Linked DNA regions of Ovis aries. The protein of the gene in region 3 interacts with the protein of the main gene of each other region in a pairwise test. Links are inferred from orthologs where the notes say so. Each region holds a gene or a part of one and is shown on either strand. Other genes may lie near its edges.

What was found.
Region 1: the proteins of PPP1CC (region 3) and TPRN interact in binary tests that used the Homo sapiens proteins (3 or more experiments, as listed by UniProt). The link is inferred for Ovis aries from reciprocal best matches to the Homo sapiens genes PPP1CC and TPRN.
Region 2: the proteins of PPP1CC (region 3) and ZFYVE9 interact in binary tests that used the Homo sapiens proteins (3 or more experiments, as listed by UniProt). The link is inferred for Ovis aries from reciprocal best matches to the Homo sapiens genes PPP1CC and ZFYVE9.
Region 4: the proteins of PPP1CC (region 3) and TOR1AIP1 interact in binary tests that used the Homo sapiens proteins (3 or more experiments, as listed by UniProt). The link is inferred for Ovis aries from reciprocal best matches to the Homo sapiens genes PPP1CC and TOR1AIP1.
Region 5: the proteins of PPP1CC (region 3) and CNST interact in a two-hybrid assay, tested with the Homo sapiens proteins (2 studies listed by BioGRID and IntAct). The link is inferred for Ovis aries from reciprocal best matches to the Homo sapiens genes PPP1CC and CNST.
Region 6: the proteins of PPP1CC (region 3) and PPP1R15B interact in binary tests that used the Homo sapiens proteins (3 or more experiments, as listed by UniProt). The link is inferred for Ovis aries from reciprocal best matches to the Homo sapiens genes PPP1CC and PPP1R15B.
Region 7: the proteins of PPP1CC (region 3) and PPP1R3C interact in binary tests that used the Homo sapiens proteins (3 or more experiments, as listed by UniProt). The link is inferred for Ovis aries from reciprocal best matches to the Homo sapiens genes PPP1CC and PPP1R3C.

The regions. Positions count from the first base shown.
Region 1 is NC_056056.1:737,608-741,623, forward strand, and holds the start of TPRN (taperin), read left to right. Parts: upstream 1-1,216; 5' UTR 1,217-1,256; coding exon 1,257-3,083; intron 3,084-4,016. UniProt on the Homo sapiens protein: Essential for hearing. Required for maintenance of stereocilia on both inner and outer hair cells. Necessary for the integrity of the stereociliary rootlet.
Region 2 is NC_056054.1:26,595,239-26,599,364, reverse strand, and holds the start of ZFYVE9 (zinc finger FYVE domain-containing protein 9), read right to left. Parts: upstream 2,801-4,126; 5' UTR 2,690-2,800; intron 1-2,689. UniProt on the Homo sapiens protein: Early endosomal protein that functions to recruit SMAD2/SMAD3 to intracellular membranes and to the TGF-beta receptor.
Region 3 is NC_056070.1:54,611,194-54,615,481, reverse strand, and holds the start of PPP1CC (serine/threonine-protein phosphatase PP1-gamma catalytic subunit), read left to right. Parts: upstream 1-1,488; 5' UTR 1,489-1,684; coding exon 1,685-1,739; intron 1,740-4,288. UniProt on the Homo sapiens protein: Protein phosphatase that associates with over 200 regulatory proteins to form highly specific holoenzymes which dephosphorylate hundreds of biological targets.
Region 4 is NC_056065.1:60,482,826-60,486,985, forward strand, and holds the start of TOR1AIP1 (torsin-1A-interacting protein 1), read left to right. Parts: upstream 1-1,360; 5' UTR 1,361-1,579; coding exon 1,580-2,060; exon of another isoform or gene 2,061-2,108; intron 2,109-4,160. UniProt on the Homo sapiens protein: Required for nuclear membrane integrity. Induces TOR1A and TOR1B ATPase activity and is required for their location on the nuclear membrane. Binds to A- and B-type lamins. Possible role in membrane attachment and assembly of the nuclear lamina.
Region 5 is NC_056065.1:30,032,825-30,036,324, reverse strand, and holds part of CNST (consortin), read left to right. Parts: intron 1-567; 5' UTR 568-617; coding exon 618-996; exon of another isoform or gene 997-3,500. UniProt on the Homo sapiens protein: Required for targeting of connexins to the plasma membrane.
Region 6 is NC_056065.1:2,002,225-2,006,410, reverse strand, and holds the start of PPP1R15B (protein phosphatase 1 regulatory subunit 15B), read left to right. Parts: upstream 1-1,386; 5' UTR 1,387-1,841; coding exon 1,842-3,716; intron 3,717-4,186. UniProt on the Homo sapiens protein: Maintains low levels of EIF2S1 phosphorylation in unstressed cells by promoting its dephosphorylation by PP1.
Region 7 is NC_056075.1:13,013,262-13,017,544, reverse strand, and holds the start of PPP1R3C (protein phosphatase 1 regulatory subunit 3C), read left to right. Parts: upstream 1-1,483; 5' UTR 1,484-1,571; coding exon 1,572-1,585; intron 1,586-3,853; coding exon 3,854-4,283.

The DNA.
Region 1 (4,016 bases), on a different chromosome or scaffold from region 3:
CTTTTCTCCAGCTGGATAGACTGGGCTGTTACAAGTACAGTTATTGCAGTGATGGCTGCAGACTGCCACGGGACACAGAAGTGGAGAAAGGCCCTGGGGCTGAAACCTGCGCCGGTCTTTGCAGAGGCCCAGGTGCTCTTGGAGCCTTGTCTCTGAAAAGTGAGTGTAGTGGGAGGCAGGAGTGTCATTTGTGAACATCTGCTGACTGTAGGCAGGTGCTGGAAAGGCAGGTGACAGTTGTCCTTGCCCTTGCCCCCAATTTGTCCTTCTCTCCTTGGCTCCAGCAGGCCTGAAAGAATGTAGTGAACTTTGTGCAGCCCTCCCGGGGCAGTGAACTTCCTCATAGCAAGTACACGGAGCAGGTGTGCCCTCAAAGTCAGTGTTGGGACTGGGCGGTTTATCAGGTGAATGGAATGTGCCCCGGCTATTATTGCCCTGTGTGCTATGGACTGCTGTGGGCCTGCTTGTGTGCGTTATGGGCTTCCACACTCCCATCCGTGTTTGGTGGGCTGTGGACGACCAAGGGTGGATAGTTTCCACTACTTGTCTGGGCAACAATAGTGGATTCTAGGGGCCAGCAAAAATCAGAGATTCCTGAGAAACCGGTTACTCAGCACTGGGTGGGGCTCCAGCCGTTGCTGTCTCCACTAAGTCCCGCAGGAGGCCAGGACCGCAGGTGGGCAGTCCTTGGACCCATAGGCACCTGGGCCAGGAAGAAGGAGGCTGGCGTACAACCGGCGCACCGCTCACGGGAGCGAGACAGCCTTCCAGTCCTGGGTTGGCCCTTCTTCCACCCCGCTTTCCGCGGGATAACAGGCGGACAGACCAAGCGCAGCCAGGGTCACCCGCGACGCGGGTCCGGGGGTCCGGCCTGCCTGAGGGGCAGAACCCGCCCCCTCCTGGCTCCGCCTTCCGAGCGCGGCCGGCCTAGGGAGCAAAGGCGGAAGTGTGGGCCTCCCTTGAGGGGCGTGAGGCGTCGTGGGCGTGTCCCAGGGGGCCTCCCCAATAGGGACCCACTCCGGTGCTGGGCGCTGTCCACTGAGGTCGGCGGGAGGGCGGGGTCGGGGAGAACGCGCTCCAATCAGCGTGGTCGGCCACCCTCCCTGCCATAGGTGGGGCCGCGGGGCTGGGGCGGGCCTGAACGGGCCTCTCCCCCAATGGGCGGCGGCCCGGGGGTGGGGCCGCTGCGCGAAGGCCGGCGGCGGGCGGCGGCCGCAGTCCCCGGCGCGCGCTGGCTCCGGCGGCCACTCTGCAGCATGGCCGGCTTGGGGCGGCCGGGCCCAGCGCCCCGCGCCGCGATGCCTGCCTGGAAGCGAGAGATCCTCGAGCGAAAGCGGGCTAAGCTGGCGGCTTTGGGCGGGGGCGCGGCGCTGGTCGCTGGGGCGGGCGCGACGGAGACCGCGGGGCCGGCTACCGAGCCGCTGGTGCTGGCCGAGAGCCTGGGCCCGCTGCGCGAAAACCCGTTCATGCGGCTCGAGTCGGAGCGGCGGCACGGGGCGCGGCGCGGCGGGGGCGCGGGCGTGGCGGGGCCCGGAGCGCGGCCCGCGGAGCAGCTGCTGGAGCTGTACTGCTGCGTGCCCGGAGTGCGCACCATCCGAGCCGACAACATCCTCATCATCGAGTCGGCGCCCGGCTTTCCGTCCGCGCCCGCGCCCAGCCCGGGCCTCGGTCCTGGCGGGACCGCCCACATCCGAGCCGCGGAGGTGCTTGTGTACGAGGCATCGCCGCCGCCCGGCCGCGTCAGCCGCCTGCTCCAGAAGTTCGACCCGCCGGCCGCGCCGCGCCGCCGCGGGAGCCCGGAGCGCGTCCGCCCCACGCCACCGCCCTCTCCGGGCCCGGCCGTTCCGCGCGTGGGCGAGCGCGCCGCCTGCTTCCAGTCCGACCCGGAGCGCTGCGGCTCAGGCCTTGGCCCCAGGCCCCGGCGCAGCGACTTCCTGCACAAGACCAGCAGCAACTCGTTCACTGTCCACCCGCGGGGCCTGCGCCATAGCGCGGGCGCTCGCCCACTCCCCAACGGGCCCGCGGCCCCGGAGTCCCGGGCCGGCTCTGCCAAGGGCTTTGAGGGCTCCGCGCCTGGGCCAGGCGAGTGGAAGCCAAAGGTGGAGTCGGGGGAGGCCCCCGCCCACCAGTCCCCCAGCCAGGGGACCCCCAGTGCCACTCCAGCCGCGGCTCCGGCCCTGCCCACGCTCAGCCCTTCCAGTGCCACTCCCAGCCAGCGCCAGCGGGTCTCCGCGGCCGCCAGCGCCAATGACTCCTTCGAGATCCGGCCAGCCCCCAAGCCAGACATGGGCAGGATCCCTGCTGGGGATTTCCAGGCCCGGGCTCTGGCCAGCCTTCGAGTGAACTCTCGAAACTCTTTCGTAGTCATCCCCAAGCGCAAGACCTCTGGGGCTCCTCCTGGGGAAGGGAGGCGGTCCATGGCGCCTCCAGAGGAAGAAGTTGGCTGGGCCTCCCAGCACCCAGAGCCTGAAGCCCAGCAGGTGCCTGGAGTGGATGATGTGTTTTCAGCGGGGAGGAGCCCCTCCAGGATCGAGGAGGGGGGCAGCCCCGCACCCGCCACTGCCCTTGTGGACCCTGCCATCAGGTGGCAGAGGCCGCCCTCACCACCGCCGTCTCCACAGGCCGCCACTGAAGCTGAGCCTGCCCAGGGCTTCCAGACTCCTGGCTTGGCCAACAGTGGCAGGGAGCCTGGGCGGCCAGGGCTGCCCATCACTTTCATTGATGAGGTGGACTCGGAGGACGAGGTTCCCCAAGAAGCCAAACTGCCCTGCTCCGGGGCTGGCGCGCCTCCCCAGTACCACCCACATCCGACCAGGCCTGGGCACTTGTCAGAGCTCCAGCGTCGGGGTGGCAACACCTTCACAGTGGTGCCTAAGAGGAAGCCAGGGGCTGTGCAGGCCAATGGCGTGGCCAGGCCAAGGGAGGCCGAGGAAGAGGAGCCAGGCAGAGTTTCAGAGCCCCCTGCTGCCGTGGGGACCTCGCCGAAGAAGCGCTACCCCACCGTGCACGAGATCGAGGTGATCGGTGGCTATCTGGCCCTGCAGAAGTCCTGTCTCACCAAGGCTGGCTCCTCAAGAAAGAAGGTGAGTGGCGGGGAGCAGGGTCCCCAGCAGGGAGGGGGAGAGGTGGCAGGTCACAGATCTGTGGGTGTAGCATGTGGCCTGTTCTTAGGACACCTGGGCTGGGTGCGGGATGGCGTCTACGTGGACCAGAGGGGGCCGGTGGCTGTGCACGCTCCAGGAGAGTCTGGGCTGGGGGAGTCCCTGGCACGGGTTCCAGTGGGATGCTGGGGACCCAGGGGCTCTGTACATTGAGAGGCTGGTGGGGACTGTGGGTCCAGCCAGGGCCGTGTCTTCTTGTTGACTCTCGTGGCGCTCTCTGGAGTTGGCTGGGCAGTCCTGTCCCAGGTGGGCCCTAGGTTTGAGGAGTGGCCTAGCAGGGGCCAGGGTGGAAGTGGGAAGGGGCAGGAAGCCCTTTGATTTGGATGGGGTGGGAGTCCTGCTCAGCTCCCCAGAGAGCATACCGGCTTCACGCTTAGCAGGACTTGGCTTTGAGTGAGGGTTGACAGGCTGGTCTGAGCCTGGGCTGAGCTGCTGGGGAGTGAGGAAAAGGCTGCCCTCTCTGGGGAGGCCTGACACCCTCTGGGCACAAGAAGGCGTTCCTCAGATTCTTCCTGGTCATCTCGGCAGCAGGGTGTTACCCCGGGGCGGATTCCAAGGCCAGCCCCGCAGGGCTGTGATCAGCAGGTGCTGTGGAGAGATGCACTCTCCTCCTCTGCCCGTCCTGAGGCTGCCTCTGCCCTTCGCCTCCGAGGTTGGGGCCGTGGGGGCGGTGGCATGCTGGCGTCATGGAGCCCCCTCGCCCGCTGTGCTGCTGGCGTTGTCTGATTAGACGTGGCACCTTGCCCGTCTGCTTCCTTTGGCCTTCCTGCCTCGGGGTCGGCCTTGGCACTGCCTCACTCCCTGCGTCACCGTCTCCTGCCGCTCCATCTGCCCGGTCAGGCCGCGCCTCTCCCC
Region 2 (4,126 bases), on a different chromosome or scaffold from region 3:
TTCCACATCATACTTCATTTATTTATCTATGCATATAGAATTTTTAAATATTCCTATATCATAGCTTATTTAAATGTTTAATAATTATATAGAGCTATACATTAGTGAACAAGGCTGAGTGCCGAAGAATTGATGCTTTTGAACTGTGGTGTTGGAGAAGACTCTTGAGAGCCCCATGGACTGCAAGGAGATCCAACCAGTCCATTCTGAAGGAGATCAGCCCTGGGATTTCTTTGCAAGGAATGATGCTAAAGCTGAGGCTCCAGTACTTTGGCCACCTCATGCGAAGAGTTGACTCATTGGAAAAGACTCTGATGCTGGGAGGGATTTGGGGCAGGAGGAGAAGGGGACGACAGAGGATGAGATGGCTGGATGGCATCACCGACTCGATGGACGTGAGTCTTAGTGAACTCCGGGAGTTGGTGATGGACAGGGAGGCCTGGCGTGCTGCGATTCACGGGGTCGCAAGGAGTCGGACACGACTGAGCGACTGAACTGAACTGATACATTAGTTATGTTAGTAGTTATTTACAGTACTGATGAGCATTTACATTTTCTATTTTTCAACAAGTACCAAGAATGCTGCCATGTAAGTGCCTCCTTACACACATGTTTTTTTTAAGATACATATTAAGAAATAGGATTATTGAGTTATTAGTATGTGTCTTCTTCGCTATTCATAAACTACCCTAAAAATGATATGCCTAATACATTTTCATTTTAAGAATTCATTCAACAAATAGTTAAGACCTTTTTTAGGCTGAGCATACAGCATAATGGTAACCAATTCAGACAAAGGCACCACTTTGGTGATTAAGAATTCAGGCTCTAGAAAGAGGGAGGGCTCAAATGTATATTTATGGCTGATTCACACTGTTGTACAGCAGAAGCCAATACAACATTGTAAAACAATTATCCTCCAATTAAAATAAATTTTAAAAAAAAAAGAGTACAGGCTCTAGATATAGGTTGCCTGAATTCAAATTTGGGCTTAGTAAGTACTGAATGTCTGACCTTGGACAAGTTTCTCTATCCTTGTGCCTCAAGTACCTTAACAATAAAACAATAATAATAATAGTACCCACCTCACTAGGATTATTGTAAAGACTGTTGTGCCTGCCACAGAGAAAGTATTCAATAAAGTTGTCTTGTAATTATTACTTAAATTTGCTCTAACCAACTTTCTTGCCAATGAGAGAGGTGAAAATATCATTTTACTATTTAATCACCATTTCTCTGATTATCGATAAGACTGACATACATTTTATCTTTTTTACTTTCTATTCTGTGATCTGTTCAGATCTCTTATCCGTTTCTTCTATCAGGATGTTTTGCACTCTTCTTAATGTGACACTAGATGAGATGCAAATATTTCATAGCATGATGCCTAAGCTCTGACCCACAACTGTGGGGTTCTATTTGTGGCCAAGTTACAAGAATAGCAGTGCTGACTACTGTCCTGCTAAGAGAATTTCATGTTCTGCTCTCTAAAAAGATTTCTGAGTGCTTAGATTCAGGGGAAGAAGGTAAGGAATACTCTTCAGGCAATGGAAAGTAAAAGCTAAAGGCAAAGGGATGGTTTCTATCTTATCTACTCTTGTTTCCTTAACATGTGGTACAGGGCCTGACACATAATGGACTCTGGATAAACACATATTGTTTGAATGAATGCAAAATCTCCTTACTAGGTTACAAGCTCCTTGTGGGCAAGGATGGCATCATACCTATGTTGGTATCACTCCCACAATACCTAACAGTGTTTTTACACAGAGGAAGTACTCAATTGTTTTTACTGAAGAGACTGCTATCTCTGAACCTGTGTGATAGCAGCTGAGGTAATCAATGAAAAACAAACAATCCCTTCCTCATATAAAGATTAGACTCTGATTTGCAGCTGTAGAAGCTCTGTATGGAGCTGTTGTTTAGGACTCTGGTGTTGTTTAGGTCACTTCTTGAATTCACCATCTGTTTCAAGTCTTTGTTCTAGGAAAAAAAAAATGTCCCTGGCAGTTACTATGCTGTGAGCCCACGTAGGTGCTGCTGAGACCACGTCCGTGCAATGTGTCTCAAGCTTTAGTTTCCCTCCAAATTATTCCTTCTCAATGCGTTATTTAGAAATAAGTCCAGACCAGCGCACTAGACACAGTCGTTTGGGTCTCCTGATTCCTCGTCCCACATGCCCTGCCTGACAGAGCTCTCTGCTTTGCTAAATGCTGTGAGGCTGATTATTTTCCGGAATATCACTCTTGGTGATCTAGGCTTGTAGTCTCATGTGAAACAGTGAGACAATGGCATAATGGAAGAAGTGCAGGATCCCTGGAGCCAGACGATCTGGGTCTGCATATTAACTCAGCCATTTACTACATCACCTAAATATCCCTAAGTCTCAGTTTCCTTAAGTTTTCAAATGGGAATAACAGCAATACTATATCTAACCCACCTGGGTCACAAGACTGCAATAAGAGTTATAAAATTAGATTAAAATGCAGAAATATTTTATAAAGTATTCTACAATTCTATGTCACTACTATATGAAATAGGACTCAAAGACTACACTAAAAGAATCCCACCAGACAATTCATAAGAGCAAGGATCATTCATGTCTGACTGGGTCATAGCTGCATCTCCACAGCCTGGCATATTTGTTGAAGGAAAGACTAAGAGAATAGAAAATGAAAAGAGCACCTACCAGTGACCTTCATCAAGTTAATAAAGCTCTGGGTTTCAATTTGCTCATTTGATACCACTTATGTCAAAAGATGTAACATCAAGGATACTTTTCTATTTCCTTCTTCCTCCAAAGCCAGATATACTTTAGGACCTGGTTGTATAAAAAGTAGATACTCTTAGTAGTTTAATAATAATGGGTACTGACTCAAATTATTCTAGAGATAGTCAGGAACATTACACTATCATCTGCCCTCTATTCTCACTAAAAATTAATACTGGCTAATCAGACAGAGAAAGATAAATATCACATGAAATCACATATATGGAATCAAAAAATGATACAAGTTAATTTATTTATAAAACAGAAATAGACTCACAGACATAGAAAACAAACTTATGGTTACCAAAAGGGTAAGGAGCAGGAAGGATAAATTAGAAGCTTGAGATTAACAGATATACACTGCAATATATAAAACAGATAAAAAGAACCTACTATATACAACAGAGAAATAAATTTACTATCTTATAATAACCCATAATGGAGAGAATCTGAAAAACAAATATATATATATATACACATACACACACATTTTGAAACTGCATCACTATGCCGTATACCTAGAACTAACCTTAACACTATAAATCAGCTATACTTAAATAAAAAGTTTAGGAAAAAAAAATCAGTACTGGCAAAGTCATTATTAAATACTTTATCTCTGCCATGTTTAAACTGCTTCAGTTCACTCAGACTCACATATACATAAACCCTTAAAATGAACCACTGCCGTAGTAAAGTTAAGTCTTCTCAGACACAAGTGCATCTTTATGTAACCTAGACAAAATAACCTCTGGTGCTCAGCCATGTCCGATTCTGTGACCCTATGGACTGTAGTCCACCAGGCTCCTCCGCCCATGGAATCTTCCAGGCAAGAATACTGGAGTGGGTTGCCATTTCCTTCTCCAAGGGATCTTCCCAACCCAGGGATCAAACCCGTCTCTTGTGTCCCCTACACTGGCAGGCGTAATTTTTACCACTGCACCACCTGGGAAACCAAGACAAAATAACTTACTACTAGTCAAAACCATTTAAGCATCAAAGCCACATCAAAACAAATTCCATTTATTGGTCACAGTACATAAAATGGGAATAATGTTTACTGAGTTACCAAAAGTGTCCACATACATAGCATCCAATTCACATTATGCAGCAGAATTAAAGCTAGGGCACCTCACAACAGAGCGCCAAAATACATGAAGCATAAACTGACAGAACTGAAGTAAGAAACAGACAATTCAATAATAAGAGTTGTATGTTTCACTACCCCACTTTCAATTGTGGAGTAGGGAGAAGATTAGTAAAGAAAAAGAAAACATGAACGCTGTATGCCAATTAGACCTAAAGACCTCTACAAACACTCCATCCAACAACAGCAGGATATACATTCTTCCCAAGTGC
Region 3 (4,288 bases):
ATTGCCATTCCGATGATGTGCCTTGGAGGAGCCCAGAGTCTCATGGACTCTGGGGAGAGCTACCATGACTTTGACAGCCAGCTGTTCACAACGGTGCTGTGCATCAACTTCGAACGTCGCCAACTGGGCTCTGTGCCCTGGGCTGACAAATGACACTTGTTTGTCTTCTTGCGAACAGAGTTACAGCACGGGAGGGTAAGTTGGTGACTGGGGAAAGCTGAGTGAGCAACTGCGCCAAGCAGGTGGGATCTCTGAACCTTAACGCCTCCAAGCCAGCCGCAGGGAGGCCTCGGGTCCATGTGGAAGGAGCCTGGGCCCCACCACTTTTGGGCCCCGGGGGGAACACCGGTTTTGAGACTGGATGCCCGGGTGGCACAATGATCTCGATATTTCGGGCTGGGAATTCGTGCATTTTGTGTGCCTTGAGAGACAAAATTAATTTCTCTGGCGGGAGGGAAACGGCTTTGCAAACTGTAAAGCGCTGCAGGAAAAAAGCAGTTAAATGAAAAGGTCAGGATCCAAAAGAGCAGATGCGTTTGCTGAGTGTAACTGCACTTTCAAACCCAGCTAAGACGACACGCAGCCCCCGGAGGTGGCACATTTTGGAGGGATCTCCTGGAGAGAGATTATATGTGGAGACTGAGAAGCCGATGGAAATTGACCAAAGTTTTCAGGGGTATCTGCAGAAGTGGGGACCCGACCGCAAACCTGCAAATTCTCCTTTATCTGCTGCACACGCTCGCTCATCTTCGCTCTGGCCGGAATCAGGGTAAACCGTTCCGATGATTATATAACTTCGCGAGTTCAAGAAAGATAATCCAGAGAGAGATGATGAAATTTTTTTGAGGGTAGATTAAAAAGAATTTTTTTCCCCAAATGTAAGTTACAGAGTGCACAAAAATGTGCATACAAATACCCATATTTCCACCACTCAGAAAGAATAACCTAACATTTTTATTTATCTGGGAGAGGACTTTTTAAATTAACCATCAAATGTATCTTTCCCTCCCCCCTAAATTCTAGCAAATTTGAAGCCAAAAAGAGTCAACCTATTTCACTGTTCACCTCTACCACAGATTTATCTTAAGGGGAAATTCCAGGACACCCAAATTCCCTCCGTGGGCTTTTCACATGGCCAGGTCTGCAAACACTTGGCCGCAGTGAACAGTGTCCTGCGGAGCCCGCAACCCTCGAGTGCACAGATGCATCTTCTCCCCCATCCCCAACTCCCGCGTTCAACTTTGCAACTCACGCTCCCGCCAGGGGGCCTATTTGCTCGGCCCGTTTGGCGGAAGGATTCCGCGCGCGAGCGCATTTACGCTCAACCGTCTCCTTCCCATTCCCGCGTTCTGGCCCCGCCTCCTTCAATCTCCCTGGCCCCGCCCCCTCCCGGGTGCCCTATGGCCCACAAAGAAGTCCCGGCCGGACCGCTGCACTCCCCCGCGCGCATTCGTGCGCCGCCCGAGGCTGGCTAAGGAGTCGGCGGCCATTTTGTTCTTCTCGTGGTTCCAGTGGGGAGAGAAGGAGGAAGCAGGGAGCGGGGCGGTTGGGGGGAACCCACCGCGGCTTCTGCCACCGCCGCCACCACCACCATCTCTGTGCCCGTGGCGTGGGAAAGGAGGTGTGAATCCCGGGCGCGAGCCGGCGGCGGCGCCGCTGCGGGAAGGTCGGCGGTGGGAAGGCGATGGCGGATATAGATAAACTCAACATCGACAGCATCATCCAACGGCTGCTGGAAGGTGAAGGGGGCGGCGGGCGGCTCCGGAGACTCGCGGGGGAGGGGGATTTGGGAGGCCTGTTGGGCTTGCTGCGCCGAGACGAGTGAGCCCCGCGAGTTCGCCCGCGGGCCGGGGACTGCCGCGGGAGGGAGGTTGCCCGGCGTTCCGCGCTTGGCCCAACCTGCGGACCCTCCTGGCTCCGCTCATTCATTGCTTGAGGGTGCAGCCTTTCTCCTGGCCGTGAAATTTGAAAACTCCGCTCCCCACCCCCACGTTTCCGGTACGTACCCCCGTGCGCCCGGCACTCCGGACCAATCTTTGGAGAATATTGGGGGCCCCAGTCCAACCTACTGGACTGCTCTTTCCGAACTTCGTGGTTCTCAATCTTTTGGAAAGCAATAAGATGCGGATATGGATTTCACCAAGCTTGAGGGCTTCTTTCCTAGCCTGCTTATTTTTATTTTTTTGTGAGGCTTGGGGTCGGGGGCCCAGTTACTTGTTACTCGGTAACGAACGTTCATTCTCAGAGAGATGTTGGAACCTGTCTTCTTCTACCCTCCCAGATATTCTTTTTAAGTTGTCTTTATCCCGGGGAAGTCTCCGCGCTCTTTTCTGAACCTGCCTCTGAATCGTGAAACCGGCAGTGATGACAGTTTCGTTAGGATCTTTCCAATGTGCCAAGCTCTGTTAAGCGCTTTGCGTTCACTGACTGCATTTTGCTGTCTTTTAGTCGCATCCGACTTTTCGATCCTATGGACTTCAGCGTGCCAGGTTTCCCTGTCCTTCACCATCTCCCGGAGCTTGCTTAAACTCATGTCCGTTGAGTCGGTGATACCATCCAACCCAACCATCTCGTCCGCTTCTCCTGCTTTCAGTCTTTCCCAGCATCAGGGTCTTTTCTAATGAGTTGTCTCCAGTACTTTGCGTGTGTCGCAAAAATCATATTAGCCATGCTTCTAAAGCGCTTACTGTGTGTAAGGCATTTTTTGGAGCTCCTTACACAGATTTCATGTAATACACCAGGTAGATGCCTTTTTTTCCTGACTAAGACCCAGAGAAGTGTAGTCACTTAACCAGTTAGTGACAGTCAAGTTTCAAACCCAGGCAGCCAGGAATTCAACGTCATTCAAGTCACCCTATGTGTGAAGGAAGGTGTCCAGTGGTTGAGCAAAGGTTAAAATAAATCTTCAGTTTTGACTGACCTAAAACTCCTGAGGTGTCTTGCGATTGATTTCTATTGATGTGGGATGGGAGAGGGATGAAGTTCGGATTTTAAGGAGAGACACTGAAATAAAATCACCCACCACCCCTGAATTCTAGAGCACATCTATTAATAATAACGTCTAATTCCTAACTTTGAAAGAATTCAGATCCTTTTCTTGAGTGTTGGATAATGTAGATTTGGCTGAGTTTTAACTGCATTTTTGCCTTTATATTCTAAAATATTGTTGGACTGTAAATGCTCAGAGATGGAGTCGAGCCTAAACAGTTGGACAGCTCTGATGTTAGAATTTACAGATCTTTTAAGTCATGAGAATGAAACTTCATCTTTTCTTAATCTCTGTTAAGGTTTTTTTCCTTTTATAGTGTCTCAAAACAAAAACTCGTTAAATGAGCCCCTGAAATGTCACTGCCATTTGTGGGTGAAAACCTTGTTCATTCAGTATCTGCCGTTTATTAGAGGAATCACACTTTTAATATTAGTTGATATAGTTCTTTGGTTTATGTGAGACAGCAGTGGGTCAGAAACGGATTAAAACAATTTGCTGTAGGAAAAGAACTTAAATTTTTTTCATTCAAAAATTGTAAATTCTGCATGTCTATGCAGGGACATGTGTGGCTTTATTTCTTTGAGAAAGCTGGAAAAAATGGAAGCTGTGGATTAGAAACAGAATTTTAAGATTAGTTAGGTCTTAATTGTGGGGTTGCCCATAACTTTTATATTCATATAACATCTTGTTAATTTTAATCTTATTTTTTAAATTGTGCTAAGGAATTTGCGTTGATTAACCTGGATCATTTACAGTGAGATCAGTCATTATTTCTTAATAGTTTCTATACATGTTATGTTGTGCTGGAAAACCAGGTTTTTTTAACATTTCATTTTTTTTCATTGAAATTAGTACAGCAGTGCATTTTCAGTCCTCGGGAATAAACTAGCTGCTCAACATTCTTAACGTTTGTTTTTTTTTTTTTTTTCTCGTCAATGTTAGATTGGCAGAGAAACTATTGAAAATGATCTATTGAAGATATATATGTATATCTTTCCAGGGTAGAAGATGTTGATAAGTTTTGTGATTTTTTTTTTTTTAATGCCTCACAAAGTTTTTCCTCTAAAAATTTTCATTAAGATTTAAGTATATCTGAAGATGGAGGGAATGTGAGTTTTATGACCTTTTTAGAATTTTTTACATTTTCAGAATTGTCTAAGGTGGAGGACTATACAAGCTAGTTGAGAAGTAGCTCAGTGATAGTACTAAAAAGACCATTCAAAAGTGAAGTCTTATCTAATGAAACGTCTTGCTTTAGGTTTTAGTCACTACAGCTTTGCAGTTATTTGCTACTCTAAA
Region 4 (4,160 bases), on a different chromosome or scaffold from region 3:
CTTCCATCAAGCAAAAACCTAGGTGATTCTAAAGCATGTAATTACTTGTGTCTGTGGCCAAATTTATGGCCTATTAGTGAAAACACAAGACATCGTTAAATTTCATTAAAATAAAATATGTGCCCCCAGTTTGGACAATGAGTTGCTCAAAAACATTCTAAAGTGATTTTAAATACATGAAAGAGTACACACCTTTGTGGCTCAGCTGGTAAAGAATATGCCTGCAATGCGGGAGACTTGGGTTCGATCCCTGGATTGGGAAGATCCCCTGGAGAAGGTAAAGACTAACTCTAGTATTCTGGCCTGGAGAATTCCAGGGACAGTACACCATGGGGTCCCAAAGAATCAGACATGACTGAGCGACTTACACTTCACTTCAAAATTTTCAGGCCCATTCACTGTAACTGCTATCCAAATTGCAAATTTTAAAATCTAGTCACTAAAATCAATTATGGAAAATCGTCCGAGAAGGGGGTGTGTATGTGAAGGCAAGATTATCCGATTTTTCAATAACATTCCCTCAGTGTGTCTAAGTTTAGATATTTGCAGATTTTCCACATCTGCAAATACGGTACACAGAAGTGAAACAAATGGTTTTGTCATGTTTTCTTATTCAGTAACTAAACGCAGAAAAAAATCCTGTATCACACGCAGCATATCAAGTCATGCTCAGAAGCAAAGTGAAAATAATGGATCACAACTGAAAATTACAGTGCTCTCTTTAATCAAAGTATTTGTTCACTTCTCACTGCCCATAGCACAGCACTAACAATGTCTCTGAACAGTGTTGCTGAAGTAGAGCCTTTATACGAAATCAGGAGTAATACTGTTTGCTGCGTACATTTTGTAAATGGAAATCCACCCAAGTAAGCCTGTAGATCCGATTTTGTACTCAACAAGTGACTTTTAAAACCTAAAACTGGTAAACTGCTTTCCCAAGGAACTTCAAACTAAAATTTTCTCCAGGGAAAGATGACACCTGCGAATATGTCTTATCAGCCCTGCAAAGGGACACTTGGAAAGGTACGGCGAAGGCAAGAGTCGATCAAAAAGGCTGCGGGAAAACTGCGCAACAGCCTGGGGCTGAGGACCGAGACTTCTCCACCCGCCTTTCACTCCGCCTTTCCCAGCGACTCTGTGCTGGGGGCCCGGCCGGGCGCCTCTTGCGAGCAGGCAACAGTTGCCAGGAGCAGCTGGACTGAGGACCGGCAATTTGCCCAGCCACTTGTCCCTTCTCCGTCTTCCCTCCCTCCCTCCCCGAAGGCCGAGGACAGCGACGCCTCCTCGCTCTTCTCCTCCTCTTTGGTGCCTTCAGCCAGGAGGCGGGAGTGACCCGCGCGGCAGCTGACCCAGCACAGGCACTGCCTCTCCCACAGCCCTCGGAGCACACCATGGGCCCAGGGGCCGGTTTGCAGCACAGCAGCGACGACGCAGGCGGCAGCCCCGGCGACGCTCAACTGCCTCCCTGACCGCCGACACCACCGCCCTACACCCCGAAAAACGATCGCCACCAACGGCAGGAGACTCTTAAGGGCACCGCAAAACACCGTCGCGAGCGACTCAAGCTACGTCAACAACTATGGCAGGCGAGGGGCGGCGGGCGGAGCCGGAGAGGGAAGGATGGGCGCTGTACGTCACGCCCAGGGCTCCGCTACGGGAGGGAAGGCCCCGGCTCGCCCCTCAAAATGGCGGCAGCAGTGACGTGCCTGCGTACGGAACTCCTACGCCGTCGCGCCACGGCCGGCGGGAAGTGAGGTTCTCAGAAGAGCCGCCCGAAGTGTACGGCGACTTCGAGCCCCGGGCGGCCAAAGAAAAGGCCCGGGTGGGAAGACAGATTCCGCTAGAAGGGTTCCGGCCCGATTCGGCGAAAGAGGAAGTGAGAGAAAGCGCCTATTACCTTCGGTCTCGGCAGCGAAGGCAACCCCGACTCCACGAAGCCGAGGAGATGCAGACTCGGAGAGCTACTCGCCTCCAGGAGCAGCTGCACTCGCCGCCGCCTCCGATACGACCCTCTCCGGTTACGACCAGAAGAGGATTACGGGACTCCCATTCATCCGAAGGTGAGACAGTCGGAGGTAACAGTGTCAGCCGCGAGTCAGGGAGGGAGTGCCGTGGGCGGGTACGCGCGAAGGGTGTGCGCGTCCTGGGCGGGCGTGTGCCTGCCTTGAGCTCGTCCCCTCTGAGCTTCTCCGGTTTGGACGTGAGCCCCCACCCCCGGGCCGCCCCGTCGGCTGGCGGGAAAGTGGCAGGGCGGGGGCGCCGGAAGGAAAGGCGGTCGTGCGTAGTGACCTGAGCACAGTCGAGGAGCCGCGTGCTTCCTTGGGCATCAATTTAGAGGTGTCAGGATTGCCCGTTTTCTGCAGGCCTGCACTTCGGGGCGGCGAGTTAGGCAGAAGGCAGGACACTGAATCACTCAGAGTTCAGTTTCACATCGGTTTCATATCGGTTCTCTCTACCCTGGGATGTTTCTGCCAAAGCCACTTCCATTTCCTCCTTTAACTCCGAGGCCAGAAATCCTTCAGTGAGATTTGGTCCTCATCTAACCTTCCAGTCTTTCCCCGTCACTATCCAGGAGGGGAGAAAGGAAGGGGAATTTCGTGAGTGGCCGTTTGAGGACTAGCATAGTTGATGAATTGATTTGAGATCCCACCCACATGGTTTACACTGAAACGGGGTCAAGGCAGTCATCCTGAACCTGAAGCTTCCCAGTGTGTGATAAACTTGAACTGATCACTCTTTCTCTAGTGTGGTGGTCTCTGCCAGAAATTCGGATGTTGGGGACCGTCAGTGTAACCTCAGTAGTTAAGCAGTAGCGTGACAAAGCAAGACTTTCATTAGTTTTCATCTAAATGGGCCACAGGGTTACTGACAAAGTGATTGTGTAGTTTTAGGAAAGTCACAGATGAATGAATCATCGCCGGTAATGCATCCTGTCCCACGCTGCCCCTATCCCATCTAACACTGAGTCACAGATGGAGTTTCATGTTGGCTCCAGGTAGCGCACCTGTGAGGTAAAACCAAGGGGTTTGAATCATAATGGGATTACATAGTTGGTAATAGACCATTGGTGGATATGATGAAGAGGAGGTGGATTTTCTCAGTTTAGAGCTGAGAAATAGACTGCACATTGCCTGCTGATGCCTGAAGTGCTGACACAGTAGAAGTGTTGATGATTTTGGAAATTATGTTAAAGATATGTGAGTTACTGTTGGGAGTAATACCAAGACCGTGTAACCCCTATACATGTTTTATCTCTTTTAAGATTATAAACTTCTGAAGACAAAGATCCTACATATATACACAGATCCTACATATATATTTGAGGGACCATGTTATACTTCAGTGTTTATGTTCTTTCTGTATCTCCAGTAGCTAGAAGAATGCTTTGGAAGGCAAAGGAAATATGCTAAGTTGTATGACTTCCACGCAGGCCTATGCAATTGTAAAAGCTAGTTTGTTTGTTTTTTGTTTAACACACAAAGGATTTACTTCTATTTTTAGTAAATCTATGAGAATCTACACGTTTTTCATTCTTCCTCTTTAGCCCGTCTTTTAAATTTTCTAGAGTAATATTTCTATATTTATTTTGTAAAGCATCATTGCTGAGTAGTTTATTTTTATGTTGTCCTAAAGAGTAGTAAGAACTACTACTAGTTCAATTCCCAAGTTTTGGTAAACCTAATTTTTTGTTGTTTAGCGTCCCCTAAGTCGTGTCTGACTCTCTTTGCCACCCTATGGACTGTAACCCACTAGGCTCTTCTGTCCATGGGATTTCCCAGGCAAGAATACTGGAATGGGTTGCTATTTCCTTCTCTAGAGGAATCTTCCCTACCCAGGGGTCAAACCCAAGTGTTCTGCATTGGCAGGCGAATTCTTTACCACTGAGTCACCAGGGAACCCCTTAATTACACATTTCTGAAGAGATTGAAACTGAGTGGGCCCCTGTGAGTCTTGCCATTGTTTGGAGGCAGTACGATAGCCATTATGACCTTCTCTGAGTTCCAAAGAGCAGGTTCCAACAGTCGCTAATCAAAGTAAGAACAACCAAGAACTCACCTGATGCAAGATTAAAAGGCCCAGATTAATCATCAGGATTAGGAGACTGACCACCTGAGATGAGAGTAAGGGAGTGCAAACCCTGCTCACACCCTTATCTTGTC
Region 5 (3,500 bases), on a different chromosome or scaffold from region 3:
GTAAACTATGTAATGAGAATATATGCTACCTGAATTTTCCCCCATATACTTTTTTAAAAATTTATTTTAAAACTATCCTTAAATGTTTTCATTTGTATATATTGCTGCTGCTTGGCCATATAAGGACTTACACTTACACTTGTCTATTAAGTGTCCAGGGATAAGATGAATGATTGGTTTTAGCAGACAACCTTATTTAAATAATAATGTCTTTCATCAAGGAGGTGGTTCCAGCATGTTGCACCATTAGAATATCTTGAGAACTTCAAAAAATACATCAGTATTTAGGCTTAGTCCTCAGAAATTTTGATTTCATAGGTCTACAGTAGAAATTTGACAAGCTCCACAGGTAATAAACATGCACCCAGGATTTAGAGCCATTGTGTTAAAGCAGGAACCGGGTAAGGTGAGGTAGGGTTGTGAGAAAGGTAGAAATAGGAGTGAGCCTTCGTCATTTCTGTCTCTTCTATGTTTACAGTAAAACAATCCAGGAGAAGAGGAAAATGAAAGGTCACTGAAAATCCAGAGTTCAAAAAATGAACTAGATTTTTCTTTTTGTCATTGTAGACATTCAAGGACTTTAATGAAACTTAAATGGTTCAACAAAAGATGCTCTAATGGATGACAGCGAAACTCCTGCATATAATCTGCAGATAGAACCGCAAGATGGATGTCATCCTGGTGACGGCGTGGAAAGTATAGTAACATGCTTGCCTTCTGCATCAGATGAAAATGAAAATCAACTTGATGGGGATGGGCTTGAGCTTCTGACCAGCAGTGACAGTGCAATGGGCAAACCTGAAGTGTGGGAGCAGGACAGTCTGAACAATAATGAAAGCTGCACACCAAGCTGTGAGGTGGCTGCAAGTGAGAGCTCAGAAAGCATTTCTTGTGAAAGCCCCAAAGACGGGCAGGCCCTCTTGAGAAAGGACCACAAGATACCTGGAAGCAGAAGTTCAAGAGGCAAAAGAGGCACTGTAAAGAAGATACCACAAGGTATTTTTTTTTAATTATTATTTTTAACTAAGAATAAACAGTGTTCCCATCCCATACTGTGTGTATTGTCCTGCTTCTTGCTTTTCTTCTCTTAATATGTTCCAGAGCTAGTTCTGTGATAGCACATACAAACCACAGCTGTGTGGTATGCCATGTATGTGACATGTGTCTATAGTGTTCATTGTATGGGTGTGCCATGAAGTATTTAACCACTTTATGGCTATTCCCAGTATTCTATAATAAATGTGTTGAAGGTGGCATTTTTTGTAGATGTCTTCTCCCTAGATGCTTTTAATGTATGTATATATGTATATATATATATATATATAGCCTTTTCCTATATCTGTTAGACCCTTTTCTACCAATTTCAGCATTAAAAATTTCCTTCCATTGTCACTTTGGCTTTGATTTCTAACCAGTGAGTTTATGGGCTAGTCCAGTCTTACACAGCTTTTTTGGATCTTTACATCTCACTTCATTAATGTATATTAATATACATCATATAACAATGTTGAGTAAGACATCTAGCTTTATGTTACTTTGGTTACAGAGTATTTTTCATCTGGCATATAATTTAGCAGTTAAAATTTGGAGCTATGGACTTTTTTTGCCTGAATCATAAGGCACCCTTGCGAAAAGGCAGCCTCTGGTCATTTTTTGATCAGAACCATGTGGGTCTAGAGAGTTCTGGACACCTTAGTCTGGGCCACCTTAGTGTAGCAGCACTTTACCTACACCTATGGCCTGTGTGAGGCTCTGGAGAACAAAATGGACTGTCTCATCTGCCCTCTTCTACTTCTTTGGCTGATTGAGAAATATGGTCAGTCTATCCATATCCTGTTTTTTTATTTGTATTTGTTTATTTGGAGTAAAATATGAAACTTTTCAGTTTCTACAAATCCTTGTTTATTCAGTAGGGCAATTTGACAACTTTTTACTGTAACTCATCATTTGGCTTTCCAATTAATGGATCCCTTTTTCTTTGCTTTTTCTTAGTAGACGTAAAGCAAAAAAAATTCTGATGAGAGATTTGAAAGCATTTTCTTAAAAGACCTAAGTGTAAACCGATGATATACACAGCGCTATTTGTATGTAAATTGATTCACTCTGTAAACATAAGTCAAAAGTTATTTGTTCCTTTCTGATGTGACCTTGCGATGCTTTTAAGAACTGAGACCTAGTTGCATATGTGTAACAATCAGTCATAGCTTCAAGACTGATGGCTCCTTTTATTTCTTCCATGATCTTATTCCAGTTACCCTAAGAGTGATTATATAATTTCAAGTTATTTAGTACTTATTATCCCGTGAGCAGATATGTGTAGAATTAGTATTCCTAATGCATTTGAAATATATGATTTACAAAACTTAGGGACACTTTTTATACAGATTATTTTTTAAATTATTTTATATACCTTCAATAAAATGAGTTTAAGAGTGTAAGAAAACTGAATTATGAATTGTAAAACCTAAGTTCAAATCTCATTACTTCTGGTTGTTGGTCACTTGGTGAATCTTAACCATTCTGTATTTTAGTTTCCACATCTGTGTAATGATGGTGTTCATCTCCATATATCTATAAAATTCCTTTTTGAGCTGTGAATTTCTCAGATTTCTGAATCGAGATGGTACAGTCTAAACTCAATTAAAATTTGGTAATTCCTCTCTAGTGTATCTGTTGAGTTTTTCATGTGTAAGCAATACATTGGTACATTTTTGTTTTTAAACATCATCTGTAACTGGAGTACTGCAAAAGCCCTCTGCAAACATTTCTTCCATCTTACGTTTTGCCAATCCATTCTGCATGTTAGAATTAAAAAGGCAGAGAGTTTATAGTTAGAGATCTAGACATGAGCATATTTACTCTTTTCACTATTTGATTCCTAGATCCTACGTAAATAAAGTCTCACAGTTTTGCAGATAAGTACTTTTCTAATAATAGAATAGCTTCTCAAATGTGATTTGAAAGACATATAGAACATGATGTTCAATCCCAAACCAGAAGTAAGTTTTTTATAGCTGGGTGCCCTCTCAACAGTTGTTTTTTGGAAACAAACATAAAGGTGAATTTATTTACTATTATGCTTACAGGTGGTGCTAGTGGTAAAGAACCCAGCTGCCAGGGCAGGAGGCCTAAGAGACGTAGGTTCAATGGCTGCGTTGGGAAGATCCCCTGGAGGAGGGCATAGCAGCCCACTTCAGTATTCTCGCCTTTAGAATCCCATGGACAGAGGAGCCAGCAGGCTACAGTCCACAGGGGCTCAACAGACACGACTGAAGTGACTTAGCACACATACACACATTATGCTTAATTTGTAGTAATTTTTCATGTATCCAGTAGCTAGTACTAAGGGAAAAAAAATTGGAGTAGTAGTATTAGGAGACATCTTTATTTACTGGTTATCTGGAGGCTACATTTCTGTAAACATGCTAAAACCTGGAACTTGTCCCCAGGAAAATCCAGTTGTCATTATATTACGAGAATTTTTTTTTCGTTAGGAGAAT
Region 6 (4,186 bases), on a different chromosome or scaffold from region 3:
TCCCCTCCTGTGGCCAACCAACATTAAAAGCAGGCCACTCGGAGGAACAAAAAGTTACTAATTTGTTCTTCACCAGCACTGATAGATTCCGTGCTCTAAACTTAAAATCAGAAAAATGGTCAGTCATAAGGGACAACGGAGTGGAAGTCTCTTGCCCCATGATTACAGAATAGAACACAGGAGACAAGACGAACACACAGAGAACAGTGACAATGCCGGCACACACAAAGATGCGACGAACCGAGGAGAGAAAAACTTCGGCCGAGAACACAGTACTAGGTCTTCCTGCCCACCCCCCCCAAACCTTCCTATCCCTCGAGGTTACCTTACCGAAGGGCGTCCGCTGCCCACCAGATTCGGGATCAAGAGAGAAGCTCTCTTCCCTGCAGAGCCAGCTGCCTTCCAGCGTGTCTGCTGGGCCTTGGCCTTATGCTGGCTAGAGCAACTAGGTCGCCCCGGACCAGACCTGACACCGGTGTCCAGATACCTTTCTTCTAAATGAGGAAACCCCTTCTACTGGGAGGGTGTTATTCTTCTCAGTTAAAAGGGATCCCGGATGAGCCCCCAAATGTTATGCCCGGAGCCCGAGTCCCCAAAATTGAGAGAATAAGACGTCCACAGCAATGCAAAAACATAAAGGGATTTTATTGCTAGCTCGAGCTAGGGCTAAGGTCTCATCCAGCACAGTGGAATCCAACAAGAGCCCCCAGTTCTGAGTAACAACTGCTTTTATAAAGGCAGTTCTTTGTCTCAGCAAGCGTAGCCAGCGTGTGATGATTGGCTAACGCGTGTGAATTTTGAATCCTGCATCCCTATCCGGATTGGCTCAAGCCTGGCATGCATGGGGACTCTCCCGATTGGCTCAGAGGTATAGTTCCCGGAATCATGACTCAGGTCTATAAGAATCCGAAACTTTTAGGCCTCGTGTAGCTTGCTGAGCCTGTCATGGCTCAGGTTAGGTCCTAACACTACTTAGCAGTGAATAACACTGGAACCACGGTGTTGCATAAATACATGCAAGTCTAAGACATACCTGTACACCTGGGTACGTACCACGCCTTTAACAGTTCCAGAGCCCCCTCGGCCCGTCTACGCAGCTCCCTTGGACCTAGAGGGCCGAGGTGGGGCGCGGGGGAGCGCGGGCCGCCGCGGAGGGGCGAAGAGGGCCGGCCGCGGCAGAGGGGCGGTTTCCTAGGCGACCGCTGAGCTGCAAGTGCGCACGCGCGAAGCCTGGCTGATGCAACCTCCCGCGCGCAACCGGGTCTACCGAGAGTAAGGAAGCCGACAGGGACCTGGGCGCGGCCAATCGGCGGCCGCAGGAAAGAGCGCGGAAGGGCCCGCCCCCGGCCCGGCGAGTGACGTCAGGCGGCGCGGGGCTGGTGGCGTAGCCGGCCGCCATCCTGCGTCTAGTCAGCCTGCCTGGAGCGGTGTTGCCGCGGCGCTGGCCCTGCGGCCATTTTGAGCTTCGCTTGCACCCGCTTGCCCTCCCAGACCAGCCCTTCCGGGGTCGCGCTGCTGAGGGGCATCTCCACGGTCCGTGCCTTCGAGGAAGCCGCCGCCGCCGCCGCCGCGGAAGGGCTCCTATCTATGGTGGAGCGGCGCGGGCCGGAGTAGGGCCCCTTCTCGCTGTCAGGATGGATGTCGCCTTGGCCGCCGCGTCTTGTGCCCGCCGTTCCGGACTGTGGCCCGCTGCCCGCGGCCGGAGCCGCTCTCCTTGTTGGCTCTTCTGCTGGCCCGGGGGTCGGCCTGGGGCACCCACTCCGCCGCTGGGGAAGGCCGAGACTGTGTAGGGCCTCGAGCTCCGCGTCCCTCCCTCCCTGAGAGACTGCCGACACCGGGAGATGGAGCCGGCGGCGGACGGCTCGCGGAAGCCGGACCCCCGCTTCCGGCTGCCCTCCTTCTTCCCTCGGCCCTCGCGATCAGGCACGTCCAGGATCCGCGCACCGCTCGCCCCGGAACCCGACCCCAGGCTGGCTCCCAGCCCCCCGCCCGAGGCCCGAAGCAGCTCCTGGATGCAGCTGCTTTCCCAGCTCCTCGCGCCGCTCCCGGGCTTGCTTCAGAAGCTGCTGGTCTGGAGCCAGCTTTTCAGTGGGATGATCCCTACCAGATGGCTAGACTTTGCTGGAGGCTACAGCCTCCTGAGGGCCCGGGAGGAGCCTGCCGCCCCCTCGGCGCCCAAAGCTCTGAGTTCGCTGCGGCTCGACCCCTCGGCCGACGCGGCCGCCGGTCCCCTTGACTGGCTAGAGGGGGGCCTCCACTGGCAGTGCTCGCCCCCAGATCTGGAATTAGAACTTAAAACCAAGGGAAGAGCTTTGGACTCCGCAGCCCATGCTTTTCTTCTGGAGCAGCCGCTGTGGGGAGTGGAGCTGGTGCCCCGGAGCGTCCAAGCGCGTCTCTTTTCTGACCCGGAGCTTGGCCCTTCGCCCTCTGGACCGCTCAACGTTCAGCGCTTAAGCAATGTCAGTGTCGTCTCCTATTTGCTGAACCCCTCCTATCTGGACTGCCTGCCCCGGGTTGAGCTGAGCTATCAGAGCAGTGTTGGAAGCTGCGAACTGGTCGATTTCCAGGCGCTGAGTCCAGAGAGCGGCTGCCTGGATGAGGCCTCGTCTTATCCCCAGCCGCTCAACGCAGAGATGGCTCCCGCCTCGTGGCAGGGATGTCCGCCTCTTTCTAGAGAAGGCCTGCCCGAAATCCACCATCTCCGCATGAAGCGGCTGGAATTCCTTCAGCAGGCCAGCAAGGGTCAGGCTTTACCCACCCCTGACCAAGATCATGGCTACCACAGCCTAGAGGAGGAGCACAGCCTGCTCCGGATGGAGCCGAAGCACTTCGGAGATAGTCCGACTCAGTGTGTTCCTGCTGCTGGAGCCGTTCCCGGAACCGCCCAGGAACCCACTGAGGAGAAAACAGAATTGTTGATTAGAGAAGTTCCTTTTGGATTGGAAAGACAGAGCCCCTCGGGAGGCATTCCGTCTTGTGAGACTGGACAGGAGCTTGGAGAGGACCAAATAAGTGTAGTTGACCCTCCAGACATAGACGATGACCTTCCCATTTCTGCCAGACCAGCCTGTAGTAACAAGTTGATAGATTACATTTTGGGAGGTGCAGCCAGTGACCTGGAAACAAGTTCTGATTCGGAAGATGAGGATTGGGACGAAGACGTTGAGGATGACGGTTTTGATAGTGATAGCTCATTCTCAGAATCAGACCTTGAGCAAGACTCAGAAGGGCTCCACCTTTGGAACTCTTTCTATAGTGTGGATCCTTATAATCCCCAAAACTTTACAGCAACAATTCAGACTGCTGCCAGAATTCTTCCGGGAAACCCTTCTGATTCAGAAAAGGATTTGTCTGACAAGTCTGACCTAGGGAATTCTCCCCACACTGGAAGTCTTCCCGAGTCTCCTGATCATAATTCTGGAGATGATGATGACTGGGAATCTAGTGCAGATGAAGCAGAGAGTCTCAAACTGTGGAATTCTTTTTGTAATTCTGACGACCCCTACAACCTTCTAAATTTTAAGGCTCCTTTTCAAACAGGGAAAAATTGGAAAAGCTGTCTTGACTCAGAGAGGCCATCTGAGCCCATTTCTGAGTGTCACACCTTACTTTCCTGTAAGGGGCAGCTGTTAGGGAGCCGGGAAAGTAAATGTCCAGACTTGGTACAGGGTGTGTTTCTTTCTCGAGAAAGACACACACATATCCGGAGAAAAAAGGTTTGTTTCTTTTATCATTCCTGATAATTTGTGCTTTCTGTTTTGATGTGGGAAAGCATGAGTTTCCTGGAGCCATAATAGGGCTTATTTTTTTAGGAAAGACTCCAAGCTCTTACACTTCGGTTGAGAAATGATCATCTCCTTTTCCCTCATGTAGAGTGTTGTTCCTGTCTGAATTGAAGGTGCCAGTGTATAGATGTTAGCTTGAGAGTGCTGTTTTCTTTTGGGTTGGCAGCTCTGGGCTGTTTCCCTTCAAGTTTCAACTTTTCACTTTTTTTAAGGAACAGAAAAATTAAACTTTGTGTGTACATGATTCAATTCTAGAGATTGAGAAGGTCCTATTGTAGCAGTAGAGTTTTGTGGTATTAAGTGATGTCATTTACAGACAGTTACTCCTCCAGTCTCAGGATAACTGTTTTCCTGCCTCTCCGTTAGAACCCAAAGGGATGATGGTACCAAGTAGCGAATCA
Region 7 (4,283 bases), on a different chromosome or scaffold from region 3:
CAAACCCAAACAGTGCCCCTTCAGCTAGTTTTGGTTGTTCTGAGAAACTAGAAGATCTGCTTTTAGTTGGATGTTTTCTTTAAAAAATCAAGCCCAAGTGATAAATAACTGCCCCAGTGATAACTCACTTTTTCTTTAACCACACCATTTTAACACTTCTGCTGCTGCTGAACGGTGATTTTAAAGACATAGGGATTTTTGTACATTTTACATTGTATATTCTGTACATTTTTATGGACTGCTGGATAACTAAATTGAGAGCAGAGCAAGGACATGGACTTTATACAAACAATTCCTACTCGACTTAGAAATTTAATTTTATGGTTGTAACTGATGATGGTCTAAAAACTCCCCAAACTAAACAAAATTACAAAACCTCGATGAGAATAACCGGCCTGGGAGAGTCATGAAACTTACAGTGTGATAGTTTAACATTTTGGTTTTCACATCGCTGCCAGAGGACGTCAGAACCCAGATGAGGGATTTGGGTTGACCACTGGCTCTGCGGGCTGACCCACCACATGAGCAAAAGAGGCCTTTTCATTTCTGGCTTTAGTTTTCTCTTCCAGGGAGAAAAGCTGAAGACTAGATTGAAATACAAAGTACCTTTTAATGAAATGCTGCCTCATTGTCTTATAATAGGGCTAACACAGACTGCCGGTGGCTCAGATGGTAAAGAATCTGCCTGCAAAGCAGGAGACCCGGATCAATCTCTGGATCAGGAAGATCCCCTGGAGAAGGGCATGGCAACCCACTCCAGTATTCTTCCCTGGGAAATCCCAAGGACAGAGGAACCTGGCGGGCCACAGTCCATGGGATCTTAAAGAGTCGGACAGGGCTGAAGCATTTAATACGGACTAACACGGTTTATTAACAATATTGGTTAGAGAAGAATGTACTGTGTGGTGCATTTCCGGGTTCACCCTAACCCCAAAATATGCAGTCAACTTCTGATTGCTCAGGGCAAGGAAAGGGAGAAGATAAGCCAATGCACCAAGCAATGAACAAGATAAACATTTCAAAACTATAAATATAAGCACACACACACATCCCCTTCCCCCACCGCCACCCCTCCACGCGTCCCCGGAACGAGCCACAGTGTCCTGCCCTCAGATAACTGTATACAGAAGCCTCGCGAGTGAGACACCTCCCTCCCTGCAGCCCCGCTGTGTTGGCGCTCCGCGCGGGAGGAGGTTTGCTGCTTTCCCTCCTGGCCTGCGCCGGCTACTTGTGCTACGCGGTTGCCTCCACGCCTCCTCGCCCGGGGTTCGCGTTACTCTACCCCGGCCAGCTGGCCCGGGGTCCCAGAGCGCCCCCAGCGCCCGGCGAGCCCTGCACCACGGCAGTCACGTCCCGGCAAGGGCTCGCGCCCCAGCTGAGCGCTGGTTGGTCGCGCCGTCGAGCCCGCGGCCCAGCGATTGGCCGTGGCAGTCGGCTCACGTGGTCCCCCGCAGTTAAGCGGCCTCCCGGGGGCCGCACCCGCGATCTGCCGGAGCTGCGGCCACTCGGGGACTCCCGGGAGACGCGTGCGAACTCTCGCAAACCGCGGAGTGCCGCCGCTCCTCTGCCTGATGAGCTGCACCAGGTAGGTTCCCTGCAGATTCTCCGACCCGGAGCTCAGGGAGCGCGCAGCTGTCGGGAGGCTGGGATGCGTTTTCCTGCTGTCATCCCCGCCCCGGAGACCCCAGGGGAGGGCGGGTTGACAGGCTGCTGAAGAATCTGGCGCTGGGGAGGCCTTGGAGGTGTGAAGATTTGCTCTGAGCATCTTAGGCAGAGCTGATTTCGGTAAACGGCATCTTAAACCAGAAACGTGAGTCAGCTTTAGTTCTGATTCCCTCGTGGATTCTAACCGTATCTCTTGGTCCTGCACAGAGGTCTCAAGGACTCGTGGGAAGAGCACTCAGATTGCTGGCTGTGTAGTTTAGCTTTGGGAAAAACTTAACGATGGACGATGTTCACTTTCCTTGGTCCTCTTTCCTTCTTCTGACGGTTTGCCATAGCAAAGCCAGTCTCGGGAGTTTGAGCAAATGATTATTTTTAAACTCTTCGGCCAGACTTAACATTCCAGGGAAATCGCCGTATCCTGAAACTGTCTTTAGATAAGTGCAAAATGTGAAAATACAGGGCAAACCCCCAAACAAAAAAACCACCCACAAAACTACTTAAATAGCTTCTTTAGACATAACTTAGCAGAAGACGTCTCTAAAATTTCCGCCTGTTAACTATTATTAGACCAATAAATATAGCTTTCTCTCTCATTTGTTTGTTCTAAGTTTGTAGGTCTCCCAGAAAAATCCTAGGGCTAATAAAGTGAATTCTCAGAATATTCTTTTATTACCCATCTTATGATAATGACCATTTGGCTATGTGCTTAGAGCTGCTGGGAAGACAGTTACTAAAGCCGGAACGAGAAATGTCACATACAGTATACACACACTTCTTATCTGAAGGCTAGGGTAGGGGAAAAATGTCCATAAGTTTGGCAATGTATACTCAGGGCTAAAGGCCAGAAAAAATACCTTTCTTGATGGACACTTCATGGTTTAATATTTCTGGGCATAGTTATGTCTAAATTTTAAATAGCTTTATTATCTTTCTAGTTATAAATATCCATTGCCAGAACATTTGAAAATACCAAAAAAGTACAAAGGCAAAAATAGATCACCTATCACCCGGAGATAATTGTTAACTTTTTGTTGTGCTTCCTATTAGACTTTTCAACATTTATAAGTTCATATATGTGTTGTGTGTGTGTATATATATATATATATAAAACACATTTATTGAAACTATCCTATTTTCAGGTTTGGCTTTCCCAGTGACTCAGCGGTAAAGAATCTGCCTGCAATGCAGGAGACACGGGTTCAATCCCAGGGTTGTGAAGATTCCCTGGAGAAGGAAATGACAAACCACTCCAGTATTCTTGCCTGGAAAATCCCATGGACAGAGGAGCCTGGTGGGCTATAGTCCATGGGGTCACAAAAGAGTCTGACATGACTGAGTGACTAAATAATGACAATAATTTTCAGATCATCAGATTTTCCCACTTAAATGTGGAGTTGGCATGGATGTCTTTTTGGGTGAAATACAGATTATGTAAAGATTTTTAAATTCATAAATGGCTGCCTTGCACTTCAGTAGGTTATTTGTGTAAAATGGGGAAGAGCATGGTAATGAAAGTGCAGAGAGAATCCTCTAATTTACTCTTTCTAGTCTTTGGCTCTCAAAACCCTTTGCTGTTTTTATTCTTTCTTTTTAAATGGATTATGGTTCCAGAGAAGTATAATTAATTCAATAGCAAAATCATCAAAGCAGTTGAGGGAGTGCAGTTTGGAACTTTGATTCTAGAACCTGTCTGGTCATTGGCTTACCTGGGAAGCTTTAAGAACATATATACATTCTTGTCTCCATCCCCAGGGGTTCTGCATTAGAGGCTCTAAGTCCAAGGATTCTGCATTGAAAAAAAAGAAATCCAACCCACTAGGCCATGGTGGGGGCTTCCGTGGTGGCTCAAACAGTAAGGAACCTGCCTGAAAACAGACAGGTTTGAGAACTGGTGCTCCAGAACAGAGCAAATGGTTTTAGAGCTGTATTAGAGTTGATCCCATCCAAATCTTTTATTTCTCAGATGGAGAAACTGGGACACCAAGTGTTTTAACCCGTGGCCTATAGCCTGTCAAGGGCAGAGCCAAACGTAAGATGCAGCTTTTATCACCTAATCCTGCATTCCTTTACTTCATGTGAGAGCGCTGTGCTGGCTGTAATAGCCAACAAAAATAGTACAGACCTACTTGGGACCAGGGGAAGTGCATTCTAGGTGCAGATGATAACCCCTCTTCTTTCTGTATTCTAGAATGATCCAGGTCTTAGATCCACGGCCTCTGACAAGTTCAGTCATGCCCGTGGATGTCGCTGTGAGGCTCTGCTTGGCTCATTCCCCACCTCTGAAGAGCTTCCTGAGCCCTTATGATGACTTCCAACGAAGAAATTTTGTGAACAAATTAAAGCCCCTAAAGCCGTGTCTCAACATAAAACAGGAAGCCAGAGCTCAGGACGGCTGGAAGCCTTCACACAACCAAGCCAAGAAGCGGGTGGTGTTTGCGGACTCTAAGGGCCTCTCCCTCACCGCCATCCATGTCTTCTCAGACCTTCCCGAGGAGCCCATGTGGGATCTCCAGTTTGACCTCTTGGACCTGAATGATATCTCCTCAGGCTTAAAGCTCCACGAGGAGAAGAACCTGATTCTGGATTTCCCTCAGCCTTCAGCTGACTACTTAAGTTTT